4 linked regions of the Anolis sagrei genome follow. The protein of the gene in region 1 binds, or shares a complex with, the protein of each later gene. Links are inferred from orthologs where the notes say so. Each region holds a gene or a part of one and is shown in the gene's direction. Other genes may lie near its edges. The genes, in order: EXOSC2, EXOSC9, EXOSC8 and EXOSC6.

Region 1 (7,239 bases):
ATGGCTGGAAAAGAGATTCCACCGAAACATTAGGAGGAACTTTGATGGCGAGGAGAGCTGTTTCACATGAGAATCTCCTTCTTTGGAAGTTTTATATACCAAGGCGAGATGGCCATCTGTCAGGAGGGATTTAGATGTGTCTTCCTGCCTGGTAGAAAAGGGTTGGACTGGATGACCTCTGGGAGGGTCCCAATTCCCCCTTGATGATTCCATGAACCAATGTTTCTCACCCTGGGTGCTTTCCTCCTGGAGATGCCTGACTATATCTCCCATCAGTCAGGTGGGAGATTCCCATTGCACGGGAGATGTAGTGCAGGTCCTATCTCAGGCATGGGTAAACTTGGACCTTCCAGGAGTTTTGAACTACAATGCCCACCATTCCTAACAGCCTTTCCCCCTCAGCTGCTTAAGCATTATAACAATATATCTATTGGGACCTGAAGGTAGGCCTCTCCTAGATCTATCACTCTTATCATCTACCTGAAAATAGGCATCTCTTAGATCTATCACTCTATCACTACCTGAAGGTAGGCATCTCTTAGATCTATGATTCTATCATCTAGCTTAAGCAGTTGAGCGGGAAAAGGAAAGGGCCTGAGGCTGTTAGGAATGGTGGGAGTTGAAGTTCAAAACACCTGGAGGGAAGGCCAAACTTGGCCCATGCCTAATCTATCTCTTTTCATGGCACCCTTCAAAGCAAATTAAATTGAATGCAAACAGATGGAACGATAGCGACAATATCCATTCGTATCAGGATCGGATGTACAGATGCATCGCGGACAGCTTCCAGAGAATGATGGTCACTTTATATACGTATGTAATAATAATAATTAGAGTCATAATAATGACAACACTTCCTGTGTTTACAGAGCTTTGTTATTCTATGAGATTGTATTGGCAAACCGTTCTTTGTACCTCTCTTTACCCTCTTGGACTCCAAATACTGTAATTAATTAATAAATATATATATTTACCTGCAAATTATTGCCCTGGGGCTTGAGACCTGGGTTCAAATCCCTGCTCGGCCATGCAAGTTGCACTCTCTTGGCCTCAAGGGAAGGCAGTGCCCTCCTTTGTCATTGCCAAAGGAGAGGCTGTGTGGTTATCCACCTGGAGGTTTTTTGTGGTGTCTCCCTTCCTGGAAAAATTGGGGTTGACTTGGATGACCTTTACAGGGGGGGGGGGGTCATTTCTGTGGCATAATGTAAAATGAACCATGTAAAGTTCACGTTTGATCAGCCCACACACTGCCTTGCCAGAGAAAGAAAATATGCCACGCAAGTGAACAGTAAAGAACAAGTAGTTTACTGTATTGTTGAAGGCTTTCATGGCTGGGATCACTGGGTTGTTGTAGGTTTTTCAGACTATATGGCAAATGTTCTAGAAGCATTCTCTCCTGACATTTCACCTGCATCTATGGCAAGCATCCTCAGAGGTTGTAAGGTCTCACCATAGATGCAGGCGAAACGTCAGGAGAGAATGCTTCTAGAACATGGCCATATAGCCCGAAAAACCTACAACAACCGAGTAGTTTACTCTTTGTAGTTCAGAACAACATATGTACAATGTTATCAGTTGCATCAACTCACATAACGTCCTTTTATGAGAGATTTAAAGTGGTCTTACTCTGTCCATGTGGAGAAACCTTCCTTAGCAGCTCGCGAAGCAAGAGCACACTCCAAACTGTCTTCTCTCTGCTTCTCTCTTCTTCCCTCTCTGCACTTGCATAGCTCAAGCCTAAACAAAAACGTAACAGTTTCCGAAAGTCCCAGGCTCAGCCTGCTTCCCAATCAGCTTCATGCATCATATTTTACAGTTGTCACACACACACACATGAACTGATTCCTTGCATACTCCAACAGTTTCTACCTTTATGATTCCATAATAGGTTTGCTTAGATGGAAATTAAATAGAATAATTTAATTAATTAATAAAATAATTAAATAATTAATTAAATAAATAAATTTATTCAAATTAAACTAACTAAATAAATTAAATAATTATATAAATGGGAATAAATTAAATAGAATAATTTATTAAATAATTTATTTAATTAATAATTTATTTAATTTAATAATTTATTTATTTACATTAAATTAAGTAGATGTAATAAGGATGCCTTTTATTCCATTTATAAATCATTGATAAAGATATCAAAGCCCAAAAATATAAACTTGTGAAGGGTTTGGTCAGTGGAGGAATTACATTCGGTAATAACGCAATTGAAACAGCACTACCTAGCCCATCATCCCCCAGCACGAATGCAAGAAGATGGCAGAGAAATGTCGACAACATCAACTTTCATAAGGTGCACCAACACTTTCATGGGATGCATCTACACTGTGGAATTGATGCAGTTTAGCACCGCTTTCATTTGCTATGGCATCCTGGGAGTTGTTGTGTTGCAAGTAGAGAATGATGGGATGCCAAGATTGAAGCTTCCATAGGGGGAAATGAGATGGAATAATCAACTCAGTCTCCTGCAACTCCAGCAATGGACACTTGAGGGCAGCAAAGGATTGCAGTTGGAAACCAAAGGGTTATTGCAAGTCTGCTCAATGGATTAAGGCTTGCAATAAGGATTGGCCATAGAAGGTCATTATGCATATGCAAATGCGAAAAAAAATAATCAGAGAAGAGTATCCAAAATAATTACTTATATATAGCATGGTCTTTGCAATAACAAAAACAATATGTATCTATAGAAGGAAGGAGGAATTCCCAAAGAATAACGTTGCTGTGAGTTTTCCGGGCTGTCGGGCCATGTTCCAGTAGCATTCTCTCCTGACGTTTCGCTCACATCTATGGCAGAGGTGGTGAGGTCTGTTGGAAACTAGGAAGATTGGGTTTATATACCTGTAGGATGATGTTCCGGGTGGGAGAAAGAACTCTTGTCTGCTTGAGGCAAGTGTGAATGTTGCAATTGGCCACTTTGATTAGCACTGAATGGCCTTGCAGCTTCAAAGCCTGGCTTCTTCCTGCCTGGGGGGAATCCTTGGAGGTTGTGAGGTCTGTTGGGAACGAGGAATTAATCAGGGGCCCTGATTAATTCTTGTCTGGAATTCAAGGTAATACCTCCCAACAAAGGATTTCCTCCAGGCAGGAAGCAGCCAGGCCTTGAAGCTGCAAGGCCACCCAATGCTAATCAAGGTGGCCAATGGCAACATTCACACCTGCTTCCAACAGACAAGAGTTAATAATAATAATAATAATAATAATAATAATTTAAAATAGATCATCTGGATAAAAAGGAAATGTTTAAGAAAGCATGCCAATATAATGCACATGTCATATATTATTTGTAAAATAATAATTCAAATATAGAATTGCATAATAATAATAATAAGTCGCCGATTTAGGCTGAAAAATGCGGTATAAAAATAAAGCAAATAAATAAATAAATAAATAATAATAATAATAATAATAATACATTTATTATGAATAAATTTGAAATAGATAATCTGGATAAAAAGGAAATATTTTTAAAAAGCATACCAATATAATATGTATGTCATATATTATATTATATATAAAATAATAATCCAAATATAGAATTGCAAAATAATAATAATAATAATAATAATACATTTATTATGAATAAATTTGAAATAAATAATCTAGATAAAAAGGAAGTTTTTTTTAAAAGCACGCCAATATAATGTGCATGCCATATAATATATTTTATATATTTTATATTATATATTTTATGTTATGCACATGTCATATTATATATATATAATATATATATATATAATGCGCATGTCATATATTTTATTTTATATATTTTATATTATATATAAAACAATAATCCAAATATAGAATTGCATATTTAATAATAATAATAATAATAATAATGCATTTGTTGTGAATCAATTTGAAATAAATCATCTGGATAGAAAGGAAATGTATAAAAAACACTCCAATATAATATATACAAGTAATATATTACATTATATAATAAATTTTATTTTATTTACTCATTTTATTTTATTTATATAATATATTTATATATGAAATCCTCCTTGCCCAACAGTCATGAATTTGGGAGTGTGGGTCTCACTCACCATCCTAGGCGTGCAATACGGGCAGGGACCGCCAGAGGGCGCCGAAGGGAGAGCCTTCCATAGAGTCCCGAGGCCTCTCCAGGCGGGACCGGAAGTCGAAGCCTTACCGGAAGCTTGGGTGCCCTCATCCAAGATGGCGGCGGCGGTGGAAGTGCGGCTGCCGGTGGCTCGGAAGCGCCTGGCGAAAGGCGACGGGGAAAGGGACTTGGTGGCCCCCGGAGACACCATCACCACCGACCCGGGATACATGAGGTGAGGAGGAGGAGGAGGGGGACTGCAACTCCCATCACTCCCAGGAAGGGCATAATGGGAGCTTCATCATCTCAGTGTTGTGTCTGGAAGAGGGCTACAAGTGATGCTTTTGGGAACCTCTGTTGACTGAGTGATGGGAGATGTAGTTCATTGTGTTTGGGGGGCAACAGAGGGGATAATGGGAGCTTCAGCTCAGTGTCGTGTCTAGAAGAGGGCTACAAGTGATACTTTTGGGAATCTGTATTGACTGAGTGATGGGATATGTAGTCCACTGTCTTTGAGAGTCTATAGAGGAGACAATGGGAACTTCAGCTCAGTGTCGTGTTCGGAAGAGGGCTATAAGTGATACTTTTGGGAGCTTCTGCTGACTGAGTGATGGGAGCTGTAGTCCACTGTGATTGGGGGGGAGATATAATGGGAACTTCAGTTCAGTGTGGTGTCTGGGAGAGGGATATAAGTGATACTTTGGGGAACCTCTGTTGATGGAGTGATGGGAGATGTAGTCTACTGTGTTTTGGAGAGATGATGGGAACTGCAGGTCAGTGTTGTGTTGGGAAGAGGGCTATAAGTGATACTTTTGGTAACTTCTGTTAACTGAGTGATGGGAGATGTAGTCCACTGTGTTTGGGGGGCCATAGAGGGGGAAATGGGAGCTTCAGTTCAGTGTCGTGACTAGAAGAGGGCTATAAGTGATACTTTTGGGAGCTTCTGCTGACTGAGTGATGGGAGATGTAGTCCACTGTCTTTGGGAGGCTATAGAGGGGATAATGGGAACTTCAGCTCACTAAGTCAATGATGGGAGATGTAGAGGATCCGTGTTAAGGAAGGAATGTCGTCAGGTGACTGTGGGAAGGAAGGAGATCATGGGAGCTTCAGTGTATTGGATGATGGGTGATGCAGTCTGCCATATGAAGTCTGCCATTATCAAAGTGACAGAATGGCCTTTTTCCATGGGTTCAATTTAATTCATTCTCCAAAAATATTATCTCTAAATATATCTATATATATATATATACCTAAAATACATGTAAATGTATATCTATATATCTAAATATATCTAATTATATCTGTTTATACCCCTTACCTCAAACAAAGTCTGCTCAAAATATGAGCATAAGGTGTATTATTAATATTATTATATTAATGAGAACTTTAAATCGTAGCCAGTGACGTATATTCTTTTATGTCCCTAAGGGGCCACGGGACGTATTTGGGGGACGAGAAGCTGATTGCCTCGGTGGCCGGCCTGGTGGAGCGGGTGAATAAGCTGGTCTGTGTCAAAGCCCTGAAAACCAGGTGAGCTCAGCCTATTGTGGTTATTATAATGACTATATTAATATTATTGTTGCCTATATTAACTAGTATTATAATAACTACTAGTTAATATAGGCAACAATAATATTAATATAGTCATTATATTGACTATATTAATATTATTGCGAGATACCTCTACAGCTGTGTTTATTTTGTTATGTGAATTTAATACAATCACAGAATCAAAGAGTTTGAGTCTATGCTCTGCTTAAAAACACCCAGAGAAGGAGTCACAAGGGCAATCTATTCCCTTGTGATCTACTCACATTTGCATGTTTTCAAACTGCTACGTTGGCAGAAGCTGGGGCTAACAGCGGGAGCTCACCCCGCTCCCTGGATTCAAACCTGTGACCTTTCAGTTAGCAAGTTTGGCAGGTCAGGAATTTAATCCACTGTAAGGAGGGGCAGATAATGAATTATTATTATTATTGTCGAAGGCTTTCATGGCCGGAATCACTGGGTTGTTGTAGGTTTTTTCGGGCTATATGGCCATGGTCTAGAGGCATTCTCTCCTGACGTTTCACTTGCATCTATGGCAAGCATCCTCAGAGGTAGTGAGGTGAGGATGCTTGCCATAGATGCATGCAAAACGTCAGGAGAGAATGCCTCTAGACCATGGCCATATAGCCCGAAAAAACCTACAACAACCTATTATTATTATTATTATTATTATTATTACTATTCTTCTACTACTACTACTAAAGGGGTCTTACAGGCTGCAATTCTTTTGCCAGGTGAGTGAAATGCAACCCACTTTCATTAGACATCCAGGAAGTTCCAGAAAATAGATTTTTTAAAAAAATAACATCTATTTAATATGCATTGCATTCTGTCACCATACATATTAAATAAGGAATATTGGGGTGGCTGTCTCAAATATTGTGGACCTCATATCACTGTCTAAGAAAACGACAATGCTGCAAATAAGAGTGACGAGCTGCAAGGAGGCAAGGTAATAAATTTATGATGTGATGATTAATTATTTTGTTCTGTTCTTCAGGTATAACGGTGAAGTCGGAGACATTGTGGTAGGGCGCATCACTGAGGTAAACAAGCCAAACTTCTGGCTTTTGCATCTTGAATACATCCAAAGCTTTCCTTAGGTAAAAGTTTCCCCTTGACATTAAGTCAAGTCAAGTCCGATTCTGGGGGAGGTGCTCATCTCAGTTCCTAAACCAAAGAGCCAGCGTTATCCATAGACACCTCCAAGGTCATGGGGCCACTGATAGAACTGCAAGGAGCGCTTTTACCTTCCTGCCAAAGCAGTGCCTATTGATCTACTCACATTTGCATGTTTTTGAACTGCTAGGTTGGCAGAAGCTAGAGCTAACGACGGGAGTTCACCCCATCTCACGTATTCAAACTGCCAACTGTCCAGTCAGAAAGTTCTGCAGCTTAGCGGTTTAACGCATTGCACCACCGCAGCCCTTTCCTTAACGTTATCATTATTATTATTATTATTATTTTCCTTAACATTGTTATTATTATTTATATCCCACTTTCTTTCACTATAAAAGAAACACCAATTATTATTGTTATTTTCCTTAACATTATTATTATTATTATTATTATTATTATTATTATTAGCTTTATTTGTACCCTGCAAAAT
Region 2 (7,325 bases), on another chromosome or scaffold:
GAGGAACTTTCTAACTAAGGTGAGAGAAGGAAGTGCAAAAGCTGGGTTGCTGTTAAACATACCCCCCCCCCCCCCCCCAAGATTCTGGCAACCGGACTGATTGATAACTGGCAAATAGAGGGAGAAAACATGGAGGCAGTGACAAACTTTGTATTTCTAGGTGCAAATCAGAAGATGTTTACTTCTTGGGAGGAGAGCAATGACCAATCTCAATAAAATAGCGAAGAGTAAAGACATCACACTGGCAACGAAGATCTGCATAATTAAAGCAATGGTATTCCCCGTAGTAATCGACGAATGTGAGAGCTGGACCATAAGGATGGCTGAGGGAAGGAAGATAGATGCTTTTTAACTGTGGTGTTGGAGGAAAATTCTGAGAATGCCTTGGACCACAAGAAGATCAAACTAGTCCATATTTCAGGAAATAAAGCCTGACTGCTCATTGGAGGGAAGGATATTAGAAGCAAAGAAGTACTTTGGCCACATCATGAGAAGACAGGAAAGCTTAGAGAAGACAATGATGCTGGGGGGAAAGGAAGGAAAAAGGAAGAGGGGCTGACCAAGGGCAAGATGGATGGATGGTATCCTTGAAGTGACTGGCTTGACTCTGAAGGAGCTGGGGGTGGTGACGGCCGACAGGGAGCTCTGGCGTGGACTAGTCCATGAGGTCATGACGAGTTGGAAGCGACTGAACAAATAAACAACAACAAACATGGGAGTTAAAATGTTTAAAACAAAGCCATTATTTTGATTACTAGGTGTTCAAAAACATGTTGTTCTTTGTACAGAAATAAATCAATTATGGACATCTCACTACAAGATCAAAGGGCCCTTCCACACAGCCATAAATCCCAGTCATCAAGGCAGAAAATCCCACAGTATCTGCTTTGAACTGGGTTATCCGAGTCCACATGGCCATAAATTCCAGGTCAAAGCAGAAAATGTGGGATTTTATTCAGCTGTGTGGAAAGGGCCCACAACTCATTTAGGTGGCTGTTTCTTAATTGTCGTGAATTTCAACTTCCTTTATTGGTATTTTGGAAACTTGGCAACACTAAAATAGGCAACCCTATAAATGTTTTTGGACTGGGTTGCTGTAAGTTTTTCAGGTTGTATGGCCATGTTCCAGAAGCATTCTTTCCTGACATGTCGCCTGCATCTATGGCAAGCATTCTCAGAGATTGTGAGGTCTGCTCCTTCCTCAGTCTTTGCCAGCCAAACCAATGGGGAGGGATGATGGGAGCTGCAGCCTAAGAATATTTAGGTCACACTCTGATTTTGTCTATGGGATCTCTCTCAAGTAACACTGCCGAAAGACTATGTAGCTGTGCAGCTATGTATATATTAAATAAACAAGCGAGAAGAGTCAGCTTCATCCTTTCCATTCATAAGGTATATACAGTGAGTGATTATTGTGCAAAATGTAGCCTCTGAGATTTAGAGAGCAGACAGAAATTCATTAACATGTCAATCAGAGTTAAAGCACAATCCGTTTACGACTAAACACCGTGAGATGTTCTCTCTCTGATTTCCAAAGGGAACGGGATGCAATCATAGATGAATAGTAAACTTGGTGAGAAAGGCAACTCAACATCCTTGGATTACCATATTAAATAAATGTTTAAATGCCTCAAAAAGTGGACTTTGATGGGTTTAGTGCAGGCTTTTCAGAAAATGCAAACAGATTTGCCAAATGCAGCCCTAGAAGCTATTTGAATGATACAGACTTTTCTGAGAATGAAATAGTAAGGACTATTTAGAATCTTTTTTTTTTTGCCCCACCTTTTAATTTTATATCATATTTGCAAGTTACCTCCTTGCATTACAGTAATAAAAAGGACCACGCCTGCAGGGCCTCAGGCCTAAGCAAGAAGTGAAGGTACCATCACCAGGGGCTTTGAGGGAAGGGGCAGTGTTTGTTTCCCTTGCTGCCTTTGGCTCAGCTTCTCACTCAGCCTCTGGGGACCATTTGGTCCTACTGGACTCTGTCTTGACTGGCTTGCATTTCAGCATCCATGGGTCTGCACAGAGATACCGACATTTGTTTCTTCTAGCTGTAGCCCTTGATTCAGCTGGACCCCCTCTCAAGTGAACACTGCCACCCCGGTTTGGAGTCTCATTCCTCCCCTGATGGAACACCTGCTCCATTAAAACCATGTTTTAATCTGTCTTATTGCATTTATATGTTTTGTTTTATAATTTAATATGTTATATTTATTATTTGTTGTATAATGTGGCATTGAATTTTGCCATAATCTGTAAGCCGCTCCGAGTCCCCTTTGGGGCTGAGAAGAGCAGGGTATAAATATAGTAAATAAACAAGAAATGGACAGAAAAGGCAGTTCAATACATAGTAGCATTAGGTCGTAATTAATGTATTTACAAATTTAGCACCAGAACATTGCAATGTATTGAAGCAGCAGTGGATCCTGGCGGGAGGCAGACTGCGTTGTATAATACAGAACACTGGATGAGTGAAGGTTGGATAAGTGAGACTCTGTTGTATTATATTCTTAGCATTGCACAATATAAGTATTCAATATTACTATATTGTACTATACCACTATACTGCAATATTATTAGTAGCTTTACATGTAATATATCATTATTATATTATTATATTTACAATATTAGTATATCACAATATATTTAACACACTACCAGAATATTATACTACTAGTAGTATATAATATACAGGGTTAGTCAAAATGAATAGGCCAATAAGAAAATTAATTGTATGTATGTTTGGCCTATTCATTTTGACTAACCCTGTATTGTACTATATGATAAGTTGTAATAATAATAATAAACCTTTATTTATACCTGGCTAACATCTCCCGAAGGACTTGGTGCGGCTTACAAGAGGCCGAGGCCCAACACATTAATAAAACAACAGCATAACAAATACAACAATAAATAAACTCATAAAACAAGCAATAAACATTAAAACAATAGCAATAAACATTAGACAATAACACCATGACGCATTTAAAACTAAGGCCGGGCCAAATGTAATGATTAAAAATTTTAAAAAATGTTGGACATGGCAGGTGAAATGAATAGGTTTTTGGAGATTGGTGCGGTGTGCAGACTATCTTAAATGTCTAGTAAAGTGCATTTGGGACATTAGCTGTCCCCTGCCATGTGTTGCTGTGGCCCAGTCTGTCTGTATATGCTTTGTGTGTATATATATGTATATACACACATATATATATGTGTGTGTTTGCGTATATATATGTGGTTTTGCCCCCGGTGGCACAGTGGGTTAAAGCACTGAGCTGCTGAGCTTGTTGACTAAAAGGTTGCAGGTTCGATTCCGGGGAGCGGCGCGAGCTTCTGCTGTCAGCCCTAACTTCTGCCAACCTAGCAATTTGAAAACATGCAAATGTGAGTAGATCAATAGGTACCGCTCCGGCGGGAAGGTAACGGCGTTCGATGCAGTTGTGCCGGCCACATGACCTTGGAGGTGTCTATGGACAACGCTAGCTCTTCGGCTTAGAAATAGAGATGAGCACCACACCCCAGAGTCAGACATGACTGAGCTTAATGTCAGGAGAAAACTTTTACCTTTACCTATCTAATGTCAGGGGACAACCTTTACCTTAACCTATGTAGTTTTGCACATGCGTTGTAATGTTTTTCGGATGGTTTTTTTAGCTTTTTAAGTCCCTTCTGCTGTGTTTTTTATGAGTGATGGACACTTGTTGAACTGATAGGTGTATTGTGTCCAGATTTGGTGTCAATTTGTCCAGTGGTTTTTGAGTTACGTTAATCCTACAAACAAACATTACATAATATAATCAAACACATAGAAGCATAAAATTAGAAAGGATACAACAGGCCTGGGCAAACTTGGGCCTTCCAGGTGTTTTGGACTTCAATTCCCACCATTCCTAACAGCCTCAGGCCCCTTCCTGAGGCCAAGTTTGCACAGGCCTGGGGTGCAATATAGCAGCAGCAACACAAAGATGGCCTGTTCATTACATGTAGCAGTAATAAGTTTCAGTTTAGTAGTAATGATTGGCACCAAGCAATAGTTGACAGTGACAGTGATGCCAAAGTCTCTCTCCCTTGAATTCCAAGTTCACCAAAGATAGAACATAGGCAAGAATAGGAGAGATCCTTCCTCCTCCCCCTCCCCTCCCCGATGACGTAACGTTCCTTCCTATTGGCCGAGGAAGCTATGCTTTGGAAGCGACGCTTTTAAAGTGCGCCCGCTCTATGACGTCATCAGAGCGGAACCCGGAAAAGAGCAGCGCGGCCTCAAATCAAGGCGGCAGTAACACTCCGGCCTTGCGATGAAGGAAACGCCGTTGTCCAACTGCGAGAAGCGCTTCCTGCTGAAAGCCATCGAGGAGCGGAAGGTGCGTTAGCGAGAGAGAGAAGAAGAGATTGTAGTCATGGGTCTGATGGATCTGCACTGTAGAGTTAATGCGGTTTCATGCCACTTTGGCTCAATCCCGGGAGTTGTAGTTTGGTGAGACGACAGCACAATTGAGCAGACGAGGCTAAAGGGCTTGTAAAACGACGGCTCTCCGGATTAATGGCCTCAAACTGTGTTAATTCTGCAGTGTAGATGCATCTCCAGCCACATATTAGGAAACTGAAATGTCGAAGCAAGGTTTGAGGACAAAAGAGATCAACCTGATTCTGTACTTTTCAGGAGTCAGTATTAAAATCCACTCTCCAGCCCTGAATGCTAGAAGTCATTCCAGGGGAATTCCAGACAATAAACAATCAGGGCCGGCTAATCAACCTCCCAACAAAGGATTCCCCCCAGGCAGGAAGCAGCCAAGCCTTGAAGCTGCAAGGCTATTCAGTGCTAAGCAAGGTGATCAATTGCAGCATTCATACTTGCCTCAAACAGACAAGAGTTCTTTCTCCCGCCCTGGACATTCCACAGAGATATAAACTCTGGTTTTCAACAGACCCCTCAACCTCTGAGGATGTCTGCCATAGTTGTGGGTGAAATGTCAGGAGAGAATGCTTCTTGAACATGGGCATACAGCTTCCCTGACAACCAATTAATTTTGAACTCTGCATTTCAAGTTTGCATTCTATTGATATATTTAATTGTTATATTAATGTATTTTGGTAAATGTGTTTTGGCTGTTTTATACCCCCACCTTGAGTTGTGAGGAGAGATGGGCAACAAATGAATTATTATTATTATTATTATTATTGTTAACTTCACTGATGCGACACTCTGGTCTTCTTTATACTAAATATTATAGAATTTTGATACCTCTTTAGCTGCCATGGTGCCTTCCTGTGGAATCTTTCGGTTTGCATTTAGGGAAGGGTTCTTTGAATTCTCTGCTAGAGAGCTTTATTTACTTATTTATTTATTTACAGTATTTGTATACTGTTTTTCTTACCCCAAGGGGGACTCAAAGTGGTTTACTGTACCAAAGTACCCAAATTCTGTAGGATCCGTTTTTGGAAGTTAAAGTAGTATCAAAGTACACTAACTGTGTAGTGTGAAAGACACCCAGTGTGTCAGATTCATCTATAATCTTCTTTCCTGCTTTGTAGGATTTCAGTGTTATTAATTGCTGCTCTAGAGGGGAAAGTCAGCCCCTGAAGATGAGTTATGGAAATGCCGAAATAAGGAAAATAATTACCTCTGTACCATATAAGTGGATTTAGGCATGCAAACTCTTCACAGTTGGCAAACCTAGAGTTCAGGACTGTAAGAGTGGGTTTCACTGTGTACATATAATTTAGTGTTTTGAATGTGATTTTCCTGCTTCTTGGCCAGGGGTTGGACTGGATAGCCCATGAATTCTCATTCAATGCTATGATTCTAGTTGACTTTTTCCACAGTCCCATATTTCACATCTGTAATTTTAGCTTGTTTTGTCTTTACAGCGTCTTGATGGACGAGAGTGCTATGACTACAGAAATCTTCGCATCTCCTTTGGCTCTGACTATGGCTGCTGTATTGTGGAGCTTGGAAAAACGAGGTACCTCAGAATAGGGGATATGGCCATCACTTATTGATTGCTCCTACCTTGTTGCACATGTGGCTATCTGCCTTCAGTTGATGCCTTCGTTTGTCCTTAACTGAGACAAATGACCAAGTTACTGTCTTGATAACTACAATGTGGAAATGAAAAGTGTACATGAAAGGATTATGTGCAAAGGACCATAACTTACTAAGAGCACAAAATTTGCATGATGAAGTTTTCAGCATTTTTAGGTAACAAAACCTCTGCCTGGAACCTGGAGAATGCAGACAACACTGACGGACTTAGAACATCTGACTCAGGCCCCTTCCATATAGCTGAATAAAATCCCACATTGTCGAATATATGGCAGTGTGGTCTCAGATAATCCAGCTCAAAGCAGATATTGTGGGATTTTCTACCTTGATATTTTGGGTTATATGGCTGTGTAGAAGGGCCCTGTATTTATACTCCACCTTTCTTCCAGAGTAAGATCCAAAACAGCTTCCAAAAACAGTGTTAAAACACGTATCACAAAATGGTAAACATTCAGTGTTCCACATCTGCATTTTCTATTACTATACAGGGAATCATATGCATAATATCATTGTATGTCTTCTGGCAATTAATTGTATCAAGTTAATGTCAACTCTGAATAAGACAATGTGAATTTTAGAACGCCTTGTTATTTTAAACATGTAAGCAATCAGTTGAAATTTTACTCTTAAAGTTCGCCTATGTGGTGGCTTTTCTCTTTGTAGGATTCTTGGACAAGTGTCCTGTGAGCTTGTCACCCCAAAGCCAAATCGTGCGACGGAGGGCATACTTTTCTTTAATCTTGAACTCTCTCCTATGGCATCACCTGCATTTGAGCCTGGAAGGTATGTGACCCTACTTCTCCCTAGTAATAACATTCAGTGCTTCCTCAAGAAATGTTTTGTCTTTCTTAATTATTTGTAACTAAAGGTTTATTTTTTAATTCTAGACAGCCTGAGTTACTTGTAAAACTGAATCGACTGTTAGAAAGATGCCTAAGGAATTCGAAGTGTATAGATACTGAATCTCTCTGTGTTGTTGCTGGTGAAAAGGTGTGTAGTAGCATTAATTATAAAAATATATTTTAATAACTCTAAAAATTAAGTTATTTGACTTAACCATATTGCTTGTTTCCATTTGAATCCATGTGGAATTCGGAGACATATCTATCATCCCCTTTGATTAAATGGGTCTCTTTTTTCTTCCATCTTTGTATTTTTTATCGATAAAATAAAGATGGTTGAAAATAGAATAAAATTATAAAACATTATTTAAACCATCGAATACCTAAGTACTGTTTGTATTCTAAGCTGAGTTGTGGTTTCATCATAGAGTGATATC
Region 3 (7,392 bases), on another chromosome or scaffold:
CCTAACCTTACTGCATGTATATAAACCGTGAATATTTACTAAATTTTAGTCAAATTATATTGCCAATAGTTTATACATGAGAAATATTTATTTAATTAGTCTATTGTTTATGTTTGTGCAGCAAGACACTATATTAGTAGGCCTAATGCAGTTGAAAAGTCTGAAAGTTTAAATGTTGCTTTAATCGTGACTTTAGTTTATATCCTGTTTGCTTCTCTTGACTTTTCTTTTGTATTCAAGGAAAGGATTGTTTCTTACAATGCTCCAGCAGTAGTCTGACAGCATTGACGGAGTCCATTTGCCTTGATATCTTTTCCCCATAGTGCTTTATTTACACACGTGTGAGGCATAACTACAGTAAAAAGAACAATGTAAAACGATGTTTAACGATACTGTCTCAGTCTTCAACTGACTGACCCTCACCGTTCAAAAGTCTGGCCTTAAATAGGGCTTTCTGGCTTTTGTACATGGCACTAATACTGCGTCATCAAACTTTCTAGAGTATTTTAGAATCTTCCATAGTGTAAGTCGCAACATGCATTTTTTCAAACATACATGATCACGTGATTGCTTATATCATAAAAACTAGAGCCAATATACATTTTTAAATGTCATTTTCGTTTTCAGGACCCCAAAATCATAAAAGAACAGCTATTTTCAGGCCCGCAACTTTCTAGAATCTTCCATAGTGTAAGTCGCAACATGCATTTTTTCAAACATACATGATCACGTGATTGCTTATATCATAAAAACTAGAGCCAATATACATTTTTAAATGTCATTTTTGTTTTCAGGACCCCAAAATCATAAAAGAACAGCTATTTTCAGGCCCGCAACTTTCTAGAATCGTCCATAGTGTAAGTCGCAACATGCATTTTTTTCAACCATACGTGATCACGTGATTGCTTATATCATAAAAACTAGAGCCAATATACATTTTTAAATGTCATTTTCGTTTTCAGCACCCCAAAATCATAAAAGAACAACTATTTTCAGGCCCGCAACTTTTTCTCCGTTGAACAGTGTTATTAAGTACAGTGGGCACTTTGGTTTCCAGACTCCCCTGTGGATACAAAAATCTGTAGATGCTCAAGTCCCAAGGGCCTAATACAATGGTACCCCTTATAAAAATGGCAAAATCAAGTATACCTGGCATTACCTGGGTGTTGTTAGGACTGCTCCCCACATACTGTCTCCCTTCTCCAGCTCTGAGAAGGCCTACCTCACAATGTCTCCATTTTTTTTTGTCATGTCAGAAGCGACTTAAGAAACTGCAAGTCACTTCTGGTGTGAGAGAATTGGCCATCTGAAAGGACGTTGCCCAGGGGACGCCCAGATGATTTTATGTTTTTATCATCCTTGTGGGAGGCTTCTCTCATGTCCCCGCATGAGGAGCTGAAGCTGATAGAGGGAGCTCATCTGCCTCTCCCCGGATTTGAACCTGCGACCTATCCTGCCAGCACAGTGGTTTAACCCACTGCACCACTGGGGGCTCCTACAATGTCTCCATGACAACATGGTTCTCTTATGCATGTCAACCAACAAGATCACAGAGGGCCACTTCCCCTAGCAACAGCCCCAACCAGTGGCATCACAGAGGGCCACTTTATCTAGCAACAGCCTTAATGGTAGAAACAGATAAACATGCATACTTTGCCTTTTCCATGCATGCAGAATCCATAGATATAGAGGAGTGAAAGCATACAGCAAAAAATGAAGAGGGGGGAGCATCCAACTTCTATGGAAGATTTGTTTCCCAGGATGTACCCCTCTCCAGGGGTAAGCATCATTTCTCTTCTAGGGACATTACATCTTCAACTGTAAATGCCCGAAGATACACCAGGGTGTTCAGAAACCTTTTACTGCTGCCAAATTTCTCATGACCCCAACACTGAGCAAAGGAAATTCCATTCGGGATCAGGGCCCACAGTTTAAGAAATAGTGATTTATACTGACTAGTTCAAAACCAACATAGGGGAAGTGGTATGGATGGTTTGATGGCAAGCCGTCGAACCAGGTTGAGGCCTGGATAGTGCTTATATGCAACACACAGGATGGCCTCCATCTGGTTTCAGAGCCTGCATCTTAAGAGATGCAGAGAATGTGGGTTATTTCCCTCCCAACTCCCTCTTCCACTTGAGCGGGTTGCTGGAGTGTTCCCTTGGTTCATTGCTTTTGCCATGCAGTGTGGGTTTTTTTTGTTGTCGTGTCAGGAACGACCGGAGTCGCTTCTGGTGTGAGAGAATTGGCCATCTGCAAGAACGTTGCCCAGGGGACGCCTGGATGATTTGATGTTTTATCATCCTTGTGGGAGGCTTCTCTCATGTCCCCGCATGAGGAGCTGGAGCTGATAGACGGAGCTCATCCGCCTCTCCCCGGATTCGAACCTGCAACCTGTCGGTCTTCAGTCCTGCCAGCACAGGGCTTTAATCCACTACGCCACCAGGGGCTCCAATGCAGTGTGGTTTAGCTGAAAGAGTGCCAATGGGCATTAAGGATTCTATTCTGGAGGAAGATGCCCCAACTTTGGTCATTTTACTTTAATCTTGATTATCATGGTGGGTATCATATAAGCAAGGGGACTAAGGTCTGTGGGCCAGATAAGGCCCTCCAAGGTAATTCACCCATTCCCTGCCCTAAACTTAAGACTGAGATCCGCCTTCAGTCTGAAGCGACTCGAAGGCACATGACAATCCTAATTAACTTGACTCTCTAATCAGCCAAAAGCAAATCCACACTTTCCGTTGAAATACTGGTAAGTTTGTGATGGTTAGAATTGTTTTTCGTTGTAAATATTGTCTTGTTCTTTCATGGATTTTTTTTTTGCACTACAAATAAGACACCTGCAGTGTGCACTGGAATTTGTCCATGTTTTTTCAGACTATAGTCTGAGAGACCGTAAATTGGCCCTCAGCACATAGAAGATGGCTTTGAAAGGCAGCAGATCACAGGAGCTGTCTTCATAGACTTGTCAGCAGCCTATGATACTGTGAACCACCACCTCCTCCTGAGAAAAATGCATAATATCACAAAGGACTACCACCTCACCCGCCTCATAGGAAACCTGCTACAAAACAGGAGCTTCTTTGTGGAGTTCCAGGGCCAGAGAAGCAGATGGCGGAAACTGAAGAACGGCCTGCCTCAGGGGAGCGTGCTTGCTCCATCCATGTTCAACATCTACACAAATGACCAGCCACTGTCAGAAGGGACAGAGAGTTTCATCTATGCTGATGATCGTGCCATTACCGCTCAAGCAGGGAGCTTTGAGATGGTAGAACAGAAGCTCTCCGAAGCTCTAGGTGCTCTTACTGCCTATTACAGGGAAAACCAACTGATCCCTAATCCATCTAAAACACAGACATGCGCCTTTCACCTTAAGAACAGACAAGCATCCCGAGCTCTGAGGATTACCTGGGAAGGAATCCCACTGGAGCATTGCAACACACCCAAATACCTGGGAGTCACTTTGGACCGTGCTCTGACCTACAAGAAGCACTGCCTGAACATCAAACAAAACGTGGGCGCTAGAAACAACATAATACGAAAGCAGACTGGCACAACCTGGGGATCACAACCAGACACAGTGAAGACATCTGCCCTTGCGCTATGCTACTCTGCTGCTGAGTATGCATGCCCAGTGTGGAACACATCTCACCACACTAAAACAGTAGATGTGGCTCTTAATTAGACATGCTGCATTATCACAGGGTGTCTGTGCCCCACACCACTGGAGAAATTACACTGCTTAGCCGGTATTGCACCACCTGACATCCGCCGGGAAGTAGCAGCCAATAGTGAAAGGACCAAGGCAGAGACATCTCCAGCTCATCCCCTGTTTGGGTATCAGCCAGCACGTCAACGACTTAAATCAAGACATAGTTTTCTTAGATCTACAGAGACACTCGCTGGAACACCCCAGCAAGCGAGAGTCCAAAAGTGGCAGGCCCAAACCCAGCACCTCATTTCAAAGACGACCAAGGAATAGGTTGTTCTTTCAAATGGCCTTTCCAAACCATCAGCTGTAATTATGAACCTTATTTAAAGGATAGCGTGGGGTTGTTCGCTCAGAGCCCCTAGAGACGGAGAAGGGTGCCCGAAAAGCCCACCCAGAGCCCCGCAGCAGCCTGCCACGCTCACCAGGACCAGCCCGACCCCCGCCAGCGCCGCCAGTCCTTCCACCAGCCACAGCAGCTCCATCGCTCCCCGCAAACGGCAAGAACGCCCAGCTTGCAGGAAAAGACACGGAGGCGGAAGCGGGCAGAGCCACAAGGCGGGGCAAAGGGCCGCTACAGCCTTAGCTTCCGGAGACAGGGAGCGCCGCAATTGGCGGGCCCAAGTCGTCCTCTTCTGGAGTTTTGAGGGCGGTCATGCCATGGCCTTTGAGGGCGGAAGCACGCGTTTGGGCTTCTGGGTTGGTGGAACGTGACGGAGATTTCGATCGTTACCCGTCCTTCCGCCAAAAGGAGCACTTCCGGCGCCGCGCTCGCTTCCTTCCGCTCAGACCCACCCAGGTCGGGAGCCTAGAGCGTCCTCATTGGCCCTTTGAGGAGCGCGTGAGGGAGAATGGCGGCGGCCGGTGGGTTCAGGTGAGGAGCGGCGCCCAGAGCCGTGTTGAGGACGAATGAGGCCCTGCGTTAGGGAAGTTCTGAGTCCCCTGACTTGAACTCGGGGGGAGGCCCGGTCAACGTACACTGCCTGCTTTGTGGCACACGCTCAGAGACTCCCGAAGGGTTCCTTGTTTATTGTTCAAATTGTTTCGCTGCTACAGTGTAAAAGTTCAGGGCAGAACCAATGGAAATAGACGAACCAGTCAACGAATGCTCTGCCATTAAGGTTTGATTACACTGTTGTTGTTCATTCGTGCAGTCGTCTCCGACTCTTCGTGACCTCATGGACCAGCCCACGCCAGAGCTCTCTGTCGGCCGTCACCACCCCCAGCTCCTTCAAATTCAGTCCAGTCACTTCAAGGATGCCATCCATCCATCTTGCCCTTGGTCGGCCCCTCTTCCTTTTGCCTTCCACTTTCCCCAACATAATTGTCTTCTCTACGCTTTGCTGTCTCCTCATGATGTGGCCAAAGTACTTCAACTTTGTCCCTAGTATCCTTCCTTCCAGTGAGCAGCCGGGCTTTATTTCCTGGAGGATGGACTGGTTGGATCTTCTCGCAGTCCAAGCCACTCTCAGAACTTTCCTCCAGCACCACAGTTCAAAAGCATCGATCTTCCTTCGCTCAGCCTTCCCTAAGGTCCAGCTCTCACATCCGTAGGTGACTACAGGGAATACCATGGCTTTGACTAGGCGGATCTTTGTTGCCAGTGTGATGTCTCTACTCTTTACTATTTTATCGAGACTGGACATTGCTCTCCTCCCAAGAAGTAAGCGTCTTCTGATTTTCTGGCCACAGTCTGCATCTGCAGTAATCTTTGCACCTAGAAATACAAAGTCTGTCACGGCCTCCACATTTTCTCCCTCTATTTTCCAGTTGTCAATCATTCTTGTTGCCATAATCTTGGGGTTTTTTTATGTTTAGCTGCAACCCAGCTTTTGCACTTTCTTCTTTCACCTTGATTAGAAGGCTCCTCAGGTCCTCCTCGCTTTCAGCCATCAGAGTGGTGTCATCTGCATATCTGAGGTTGTTAATATTTCTTCCAGCAATTTTCACCCCAGCTTTGCATTCATCCAGCCCTGCACATCGCATGATGTGTTCTGCATACAAGTTAAAAAGGTTGGGTGAGAGTATGCAGCCTTGCCGTACACCTTTCCCAATCTTGAACCAGTCTGTTGTTCCGTGGTCAGTTCTGACTGTTGCTACTTGGTCCTTGTACAGATTCCTCAGGAGAGAGACAAGGTGGCTTGGTATGCCCATCCCACCAAGAACTTGCCACAATTTATTATGATCCACACAGTCAAAGGCTTTAGAATAGTCAATGAAGCAGAAGTAGATGTTTTTCTGAAACTCCCTGCCTTTCTCCATTATCCAGCGGATATTGGCAATCTGGTCTCTCGTTCCTCTGCCTTTTCTAAACCCAGCTTGTACATCTGGCAACTCTCGCTCCATGTATTGCTGGAGTCTTCCTTACAGGATCTTGAGCATTACCTTACTGGCATGAGAAATAAGGGCCACTGTACGGAAGTTTGAGCAATCTTTCGCATTTCCCTTTTTTGGTATGTGGATACACTATGTAACAACATTTGAAAAAAATCTGTTCCTGGTTTGAAGGTGTTCTTTCCTGTTTAATTGTGCGCTACGTACTTTGAAAGTAGTTGTTCTACTCCAGAAACTTCGTTTTGTGGCTGCCGGAAACTATGTTGAATTGGTTGACACCTGATATTCAGTGGAAAATCTATAGCAGAATGTGCTGCAGAATGTCCTGCAAAAAGCAAGGCTTTTGCAGTTCAATAAACTTTCCCCATGTTTTAATTATAGAACGAATTAGGAAAAGCCAGGAACAAAAATTGTGTTACATAGTGCTATCAACTCTATCATTCTGTCTGGAATCTTATCGAAACGGAACACCTTCAAATTTAGAATTTCATCATGTTAGAGGCAGGCGGTGGGGAAGGGCCTCTTTCAGGCACCACTCTTGCCTCCTCGGTCTCTGTGCCGTTCCTCTCATTAAAGGCACATCTAAAAAGTTTCAGACCAGCATGGAAGAAAAGTAGTTTTACTGTGCAGACAATTTCATGGAAAATCTTGGAAATGGTTTGCGGCCCAGATGATGATCCTACAAAGCACTGATGCGCAGTTAGGGTTTCTTTTTATAGGATTTGTGGGAGTTTTTTTGTGTGGATGCCGCATTGCATTAAATGATTGGTGTAGATGGGGCCTAAGGCTGGTTCATGCTGCCTTGTTGCTGTTATTATTTATTTATTTATTCCGTGCTTTATATCCCCAAAGGGGACTCAAAGTGGCTTGATATAAAAGCCTTAGTATACAGTTTAAAATATACAAATCTATACATTTTAAAACAGAATTAAATACAAACAGCACTAAAACATTCACAGTTAAAATCCATTAAAACACATTCAAAGTTGAAAACCACAGCATCCCCTTACTAGATCTTAAACACCTTTATCTTTAAAAGTCTGTCATGGGACAGGGCCATTCTGGTTTCCTGGGAAGAAAGGGAATTCCAGAGTCAAGGGGCAGCCACTAAAAAGAAAGGCCCTCTCTCTCATTCCCACCAACCGAGCTTGAAATGGAGGTGTTACTGAGAGAAGGACCTCTCTTGAAAATCTCAGGACCTGGGCAGGTTTATACAAGTGGATGCGGTCAGCCTAAAATAGCCTGGACCTGGACCATCTAGGGCTTTAAAGTCATAACCTTTAAATTGTCATAAACTGGACCTGGAAACAGACTGGTAGCCAGTGGGGCTGCTGCAACAGGAGGGT
Region 4 (7,770 bases), on another chromosome or scaffold:
CTCCAGCAGACAAGAGACCTTTGTCCCACCCTGGTTTTTCCACAGATATATAAACCCATTTTCCTAGTTCCAACCGACCTCACTAAACAAACAAGGACAGCTAATCACCTCAATAAAAGGTTGCACCAGGCACGGTCAGACCATCAAATGCTAATCAAGGTGGTCAGTTGAAACATTCACACCTAGCTCCAGCAGACAAGAGTCCTTTGTCCCACCCTGGTCATTCCACAGATATATAAACCCTTTTGCCTCGTTCCAACAGACCTCACTACCTCTGAGGATGCTTGCCATAGATGCAGGCGAAATGTCAGGAGAAAATGCCTCTAGAACATGGCCATATAGCCCGAAAAAAACCTACAGCAACCCATCTAACTTGCTGTTTTCCTGTCTTTCGCAGGACGTTGTCAACAAAGGCCTGAAAGCTAGCGAATGGGTGCAGCAGGTGTCGGTCCTGATGGATGGCAAGGGGGGCGGGAAGGACCTCTCGGCTCAGGCGACCGGGAAGAACACTGACTGCCTGAAGGAGGTCCTGGAGGTGGCCACGGACTTTGCCAAGCTGAAACTGGGCGAGCTGAAGAACTGACCCCCCCCCCCCTTCAGGGAAGAGATCCAGGCAAGGAAGCCCTTGTCTGCTCCGCCAGTAGGTTAACAGCTTAGTGATAACTGGAAACAACGTTACGTGCATTGTTGTCCTTCTCAGCTCATCCGCTCAGGCACTAACCAAGCCAGGCGGCCGTGCCAGGAAATGCCCTGAGCACAGAACGTGGGAGCCTGTGGCGGCACAAGTTCGAATCGAAATGTGGTAAAAATCTCCTTGCACATACAAGTCACATACTTCCTGACGCTCTAAACTTGAATGTCTTTGTACAGTTTGCAATAAGACATGGCCCACGAATTCTCTGTCCGTGCTCAAGCGCTTGGGGCGTTTTGCATGCGCGGGGCCAAGGCTCAACACTTCGGTCATTTCATCCCTTATCTCTGTAACTGTGAAAGCCCCTCCTTCATTCATAGTATTAACCTCTGTTGTAGCCAAGCCCAAGCCAGGCGTGTTCTGGCACGAGGAGCTGTGCTTCACCAGGTTCCATGCTGAATAAACAGATGTCTATTTAAGTGAGTGTCTTGCTGTAGAAACAAAAGCAATGGGCACATGGGCACATTACATATAACCATGCTGCAGTGTGATATGCTCAAGCCTACAACCCACAAAAACCTACAACAACCCAGTGATTCCGGCCATGAAAGCCTTCTCAACAAAAGTTTGCCCCAGCCACAGTCATTTCCTTTCCTTTCTGCACAGCCAAGAAGAGTAGTTTGCATGTGTTGCTATTTTTAATTGCAACTTGATGTGTCAACAATGGCACGTTGTGCTTAAGAATGGCTTCTCACAACCTCTGAGGATGCTTGCCATAGATGCAGGCGAAACATCAGGAGAGAATGCCTCTAGAACAGTGTTTCTCAACCTGGGGGTCGGGACCCCCATGGGGGTCATGAGGGGTCGCCAAAGACCATGAGAAAACATAGTATTTTCTGTTGGTCATGGGGGTTCTGTGGAAAGTTTGGTCCAATTCTATTGGTGGGGTTCAGAATGCTATTTTATTGCGGGTGAACTATAAATCACAACAATTACAACTCCTATTTTCTCCAAACTCCAGCAGTATTCACATTTGGGCATATTGAGTATTTGTGCCAAGTTTGATCCAGATCCATCATTGCTTGAGTCCACAGTGTTCTCCGGATGTAGGTGAACTACAACTCCAAAAAACTCAAGGTCAATGTCCACCAGACCTTCCCAGTATTTTCTCTTGGTCATGGGAATTCTGTGTGCCCAGTTTGATTCAATTCCATCACTGGTGGAGTTCAGAAGGCTCTTTGATTTTAGGTGAACTATAAATCCCAGCAACTCCACCATTACCAAATGACAAAATCAATCACCCCCCAACCCCACCAATATTCAAATTTGGGGATATCAGGTATTTGTGCCAAATTTGGTTCAGTGACTGAAAATACATCCTGCATATCAGATATTTAGATTACCATTCATAACAGTAGCAAAATTACAGTTGTGAAGTAGCAACGAAAATATTATGGTTGGGGGTCACCAGAACATGAGGACCTGTATTAAGGGGTCGCGGCATTAGGAAGGTTGAGAACCACTGCTCTAGAACATATAATAATAATAACACTTTATTTATACCCCGCTACCATCTCCCCAGGGGACTCGGTGCGGCTTACATGAGGCCGAGCCCAAAATACAACAATACAAGCAATAACAACAACAATACAAGCAGTTTAAAACAGCAAAACAATAACATAAGCATTATCAAATAGGACAACACACTTTAAAAACTATGGCTGGGCCAAATGTGCCCAGGGGGAGTCTCTCATTGGGTATCAGCCATTGGTTGAGGTTCTGGGTTTGAGCCTGCCACTTTTGGACTCTCGCTTGCTGAGGTGTTCCAGCGAGTGTCTCTGTAGATCTTAGAAAACTATTTCGTAATTTAAGGCGTTGACGTGCTGGCTGATACCCAAACAGGGGATGAGCTGGAGATGTCACTTCCTTGGTCCTTTCACTATTGGCTGCCACTTCCCGGCGGATGTCAGGTGGTGCAATACCGGCTAAGCAGTGTAATTTCTCCAGTGGTGAGGGGCGCAGATACCCCATGATAATGTGACATGTCTCATTAAGAGCCACATCCACTGTTTTAGTATGGTGAGATGTGTTCCACACTGGACATGCATACTCAGCAGCAGAGGAGCACAGCGCAAGGCAGATGTCTTCAGTGATCTAATTTTGCTGGGGAGTGAATTCCACAGGCGGGGGCCACTACTGATAAGGCTCTGTCCCTCGTCCCCACCAGCTTTGTTTGTGACGTTGGTGGGACCGAGAGCAGGGCCTCTTAAACTATCAGGGTTTGAGCCTGCCACTTTTGGGGTCTCGTTTGCTGAGGTGTTCCAGCGAGTGTCTCTATAGATATTAGAAAACTATTTCTTGCTTTAAGTCGTTGGCATGCTGGCTGATACTCAAACGGGGTGAGCTGGAGATGTCACTGCCTTGGTCATTTCACTATTGGTTGCTGCCACTCCTTGAACTCACTCTCTCTCCTAGTGTCTAGATCCAGGGAAGTCATGCTCCCCATGCTCTATTCCGCTTTGGTTAGACCACTTTACCTGGAATATTGTGTCCAATTCTGGGCACCACAATTCAAGAGAGATATTGACAAGCTGGAATGTGTCCAGAGGAGGGCGACTAAAATGATCAAGGGTCTGGAGAACAAGCCCTATGAGGAGCGGCTTAGGGAACTGGGCATGTTTAGCCTGAAGAAGAGAAGGCTGAGAGGGGATATGATAGCCATGTATAAGGAAGCCACAGGGAGGAGGAGGGAGCAAGCTTGTTTTCTGCTTCCCTGGAGACTAGGACACGAAACAATGGCTTCAAACTCCAAGAGAGGAGATTCCATCTGAACATGAGGAAGAACTTTCTGACTGTGAGAGCCGTTCAGCAGTGGAACTCACTGCCCCGGAGTGTGGTGGAGGCTCCTTCCTTGGAAGCTTTTAAACAGAGGCTGGATGGCCATCTGTCGGGGGTGCTTAAATGCATTTTTCCTGCTTCTTGGCAGAATGGGGTTGGACTGGATGATGATGGCCCAGGAGGTCTCTTCCAATTCTAGGATTCTATGAATTGTATGTCTATTCTCAATGGCAGGTGTGGGCAAACTTGGGCCCTCCAGGTGTTTTGGACTTCAACTCCCACAATTCCTAACAGCCTACCGGCTGTTAGGAATTGTGGGAGTTGAAGTCCAAAACACCTGGAGTCCAAGTTTGCCCATGCTTGCTCAATGGGTTTCTTCTGACAAGAGATCAATAAAGAGGAGCAGCCTGCTCCTCCTCCTCCAGGCCAGCAGGGGGCAAGAGAGAGAGAGCGCTCAGAGGAGAGAGTGCTCCTCTGAGTAGCGTGCTCCTCCTCCAGGCCAGCAGGGGGCGCGAGAGAGAGAGGGAGCGAGGGCGCAGGCGCAGCTTCCTTTTCCGCTTCCCCTTGTGAGAATGGGTTTCTTCTGACCAGAGATCAATAAAGAGGAACAGCCTGCTCCTCCTCCTCCAGGCCAGCAGGGGGCGCGAGACAGAGAGAGAGGGAGCCTGGGCGCAGGCGCAGTGGGAGCCGCTTCCTCTTCCGCTTCCCCGAGAGAGCGCTCAGAGGAGAGAGAGTGCTCCTCTGAGCAGCCTGCTCCTCCTCCTCCTGGCCAGCAGGGGGCGAGAGAGAGAGAGAGAGGGCGCAGGAGCAGTGTGCGCCGCTTCCTGTTCCGCTTCCCCTTGTGAGAATGAGCTTCTTCTGACCAGAGATCAATAAAGAGGAGCAGCCTGCTTCTTCTCCTCCAGGCCAGCAGGGGGCGCGAGATAGAGAGAGAGCGCTCAGAGGAGAGAGTGCTCCTCTGAGCAGCCTGCTCCTTCTCCTCCAGGCCAGCAGGGGGCGAGAGAGAGAGAGAGGGCGCAGTGGGCGCCGCTTCCTCTTCCGCTTCCCCTTGTGAGAATGGGTTTCTTCTGAGCAGAGATCAATAGAGGAACAGCCTGCTTCTCCTCCTCCAGGCCAGCAGGGGGCGAGAGAGAGAGAGAGCGCGCTCAGAGGAGAGTGGTCCTTTGAGCAGCCTGCTCCTCCTCCTCCAGGCCAGCAGGGGGCGCGAGACAGAGAGAGAGAGGGAGCGATTACGCAGGCGCAGTGGGCGCCGCTTCTCCTTCCGCTTCCTGTTGTGAGGCTGCGACGGTGAGGGGAGTGTTGCCATGCCGCTGGACCACCGCCGCGTGCCGGGCCCGGAGGAGTCTCAGTCCTCGCTGCTCTTCGTGGCCGAGGGGGCGGAGGAGGCGGAGAAGAAGCCTGAAAAGCCGGGGCGGGACCCTTCCGCGCTGCAGGCGGTGTTCGCGCGGGCGGCGGTGCTGAGCCAGGCCAAGGGCTCGGCCTTCGTGGAGCTGTCTGGCGGGACGAAGGTGCTGTGCGGCGTGTACGGGCCCCGAGAGGCCCCCGCAGGAGGAGGAGGAGCGGGGAGCGAGTCGGGGGGCCGGCTGGTGTGCGAGTTCCGGCGCGCGCCCTTCTCTTCCCGCGGGCCCCGTCGTCGGTGGTCATCGGAGCGCGACCCGTGCCTGGCGCAGGCGCTGACGGAGTCCCTCTCGGCCGCCGCCCGCCTCTCCCGCTACCCGCGCGCCCAGCTGGAGGTCAGCGCGCTGGTGCTGCAGGACGGGGGCTCCGTGCTGGCCGCCGCCCTCTGCGCCTCCGGGCTCGCCCTGGCCCACGCCGGCGTCGAGCTCTTCGACCTGCCCGCCGCCTGCGCCCTCGCCCTCGCCCCCGGAACAGCAGGGGGAGAGTGGCTGCTCCAGCCCGACGAGGCCGAGACCCGCCGCGCCCGCGCCCACCTCACCGTGGCCCTCCTGCCCTCCCTCAACCAAGTGGCCGGCCTCCTGGGCAGCGGGGAAGGCGGCCCCCCGGACAGCTGGGCACGGGCCCTGCGCCTCGGACTCGACGGATGCCACCGCCTCTACCCGCTCCTCAGGAAGAGCCTCCTCCGCGCCCTCACGCCCAAGGGGGACCCCCCGCCCCCCCACAAGACCCCAGAGGAAGAGGAAGGGGCGCCCCACCCCATCACATGAGACCCAGCCCCACTCAGGTATGGACAGCCTCAGGCCCTGCCCACTTAGTCTGGAATTAATATATAATCTGGGACTAGGGACTGCGGGGAAGGGGCCTGAGATACTCTGGCATCCAACTGCCAGCATTCTGCCTCTACATCAGGTTTGGGTAAACTTTGGCCTTCCTTCCAGGTGTTTTGGACTCCAACTCCCACCATCCCTAACAGCCTCAGGCCCATTCTGCCTCTAGATCAGGTTTAGGCCAACTCTGGCCCTCCCTCTGGGTGTTTTGGACTCCAACTCCCACCATCCCCAACAGCCTCAGGCCCATTCTGCCTCTAGATCAGGTTTAGGCCAACTCTGGCCCTCCCTCTGGGTGTTTTGGACTCCAACTCCCACCATCCCCAACAGCCTCAGGCCCATTCTGCCTCTAGATCAGGTTTAGGCCAACTCTGGCCCTCCCTCTGGGTGTTTTGGACTCCAACTCCCACCATCCCCAACAGCCTCAGGCCCATTCTGCCTCTACATCAGGTTTAGGCCAACTCTGGCCCTCCCTCTGGGTGTTTTGGACTCCAACTCCCACCATCCCCAACAGCCTCAGGCCCATTCTGCCTCTAGATCAGGTTTAGGCCAACTCTGGCCCTCCCTCTGGGTGTTTTGGACTCCAACTCCCACCATCCCCAACAGCCTCAGGCCCATTCTGCCTCTAGATCAGGTTTAGGCCAACTCTGGCCCTCCCTCTGGGTGTTTTGGACTCCAACTCCCACCATCCTCAACAGCCTCAGGCCCATTCTGCCTCTAGATCAGATTTGGGTAAACTTAGGCCTTCCTTCCAGGTGTTTTGGACTCCAACTCCCACCATCCCCAACAGCCTCAGGCCCATTCTGCCTCTACATCAGGTTTAGGCCAACTCTGGCCCTCCCTCTGGGTGTTTTGGACTCCAACTCCCACCATCCCCAACAGCCTCAGGCCCATTCTGCCTCTACATCAGGTTTAGGCCAACTCTGGCCCTCCCTCTGGGTGTTTTGGACTCCAACTCCCACCATCCCCAACAGCCTCAGGCCCATTCTGCCTCTACATCAGGTTTAGGCCAACTCTGGCCCTCCCTCTGGGTGTTTTGGACTCCAACTCCCACCATCCCCAACAGCCTCAGGCCCATTCTGCCTCTACATCAGGTTTAGGCCAACTCTGGCCCTCCCTCTGGGTGTTTTGGACTCCAACTCCCACCATCCCCAACAGCCTCAGGCCCATTCTGCCTCTAGATCAGGTTTAGGCCAACTCTGGCCCTCCCTCTGGGTGTTTTGGACTCCAACTCCCACCATCCCCAACAGCCTCAGGCCCATTCTGCCTCTACATCAGGTTTGGGTAAACTTAGGCCTTCCTTCCAGGTGTTTTGGACTCCAACTCCCACCATCCCCAACAGCCTCAGGCCCATTCTGCCTCTAGATCAGGTTTAGGCCAACTCTGGCCCTCCCTCTGGGTGTTTTGGACTCCAACTCCCACCATCCCCAACAGCCTCAGGCCCATTCTGCCTCTAGATCAGGTTTAGGCCAACTCTGGCCCTCCCTCTGGGTGTTTTGGACTCCAACTCCCACCATCCCCAACAGCCTCAGGCCCATTCTGCCTCTAGATCAGATTTGGGTAAACTTAGGCCTTCCTTCCAGGTGTTTTGGACTCCAACTCCCACCATCCCCAACAGCCTCAGGCCCATTCTGCCTCTACATCAGGTTTAGGCCAACTCTGGCCCTCCCTCTGGGTGTTTTGGACTCCAACTCCCACCATCCCCAACAGCCTCAGGCCCATTCTGCCTCTACATCAGGTTTAGGCCAACTCTGGCCCTCCCTCTGGGTGTTTTGGACTCCAACTCCCACCATCCCCAACAGCCTCAGGCCCATTCTGCCTCTACATCAGGTTTAGGCCAACTCTGGCCCTCCCTCTGGGTGTTTTGGACTCCAACTCCCACCATCCCCAACAGCCTCAGGCCCATTCTGCCTCTAGATCAGGTTTAGGCCAACTCTGGCCCTCCCTCTGGGTGTTTTGGACTCCAACTCCCACCATCCCCAACAGCCTCAGGCCCATTCTGCCTCTACATCAGGTTTGGGTAAACTTAGGCCTTCCTTCCAGGTGTTTTGGACTCCAACTCCCACCATCCCCAAC

Evidence for each region.
Region 2: EXOSC2 (region 1) and EXOSC9 share a complex: the UniProt entries of both Homo sapiens proteins name them as parts of the RNA exosome core complex. The link is inferred for Anolis sagrei from reciprocal best matches to the Homo sapiens genes EXOSC2 and EXOSC9.
Region 3: EXOSC2 (region 1) and EXOSC8 share a complex: the UniProt entries of both Homo sapiens proteins name them as parts of the RNA exosome core complex. The link is inferred for Anolis sagrei from reciprocal best matches to the Homo sapiens genes EXOSC2 and EXOSC8.
Region 4: EXOSC2 (region 1) and EXOSC6 share a complex: the UniProt entries of both Homo sapiens proteins name them as parts of the RNA exosome core complex. The link is inferred for Anolis sagrei from reciprocal best matches to the Homo sapiens genes EXOSC2 and EXOSC6.

What each region holds. Positions count from the first base shown.
Region 1 is NC_090031.1:2,833,427-2,840,665, reverse strand, and holds the start of EXOSC2 (exosome complex component RRP4), read left to right. Parts: upstream 1-4,166; 5' UTR 4,167-4,197; coding exon 4,198-4,316; intron 4,317-5,510; coding exon 5,511-5,612; intron 5,613-6,630; coding exon 6,631-6,676; intron 6,677-7,239. UniProt on the Homo sapiens protein: Non-catalytic component of the RNA exosome complex which has 3'->5' exoribonuclease activity and participates in a multitude of cellular RNA processing and degradation events.
Region 2 is NC_090025.1:36,467,603-36,474,927, forward strand, and holds the start of EXOSC9 (exosome complex component RRP45), read left to right. Parts: upstream 1-4,221; 5' UTR 4,222-4,298; coding exon 4,299-4,364; intron 4,365-5,871; coding exon 5,872-5,966; intron 5,967-6,709; coding exon 6,710-6,829; intron 6,830-6,933; coding exon 6,934-7,036; intron 7,037-7,325. UniProt on the Homo sapiens protein: Non-catalytic component of the RNA exosome complex which has 3'->5' exoribonuclease activity and participates in a multitude of cellular RNA processing and degradation events.
Region 3 is NC_090022.1:166,884,801-166,892,192, forward strand, and holds the start of EXOSC8 (exosome complex component RRP43), read left to right. Parts: upstream 1-4,352; 5' UTR 4,353-4,367; coding exon 4,368-4,586; intron 4,587-7,392. Other genes in the region: ALG5 (dolichyl-phosphate beta-glucosyltransferase), read right to left, coding at 4,138-4,197. UniProt on the Homo sapiens protein: Non-catalytic component of the RNA exosome complex which has 3'->5' exoribonuclease activity and participates in a multitude of cellular RNA processing and degradation events.
Region 4 is NC_090028.1:43,418,761-43,426,530, reverse strand, and holds the start of EXOSC6 (exosome complex component MTR3), read left to right. Parts: upstream 1-4,719; 5' UTR 4,720-4,773; coding exon 4,774-5,634; 3' UTR 5,635-5,651; intron 5,652-7,770. Other genes in the region: AARS1 (alanine--tRNA ligase, cytoplasmic), read left to right, coding at 398-583. UniProt on the Homo sapiens protein: Non-catalytic component of the RNA exosome complex which has 3'->5' exoribonuclease activity and participates in a multitude of cellular RNA processing and degradation events.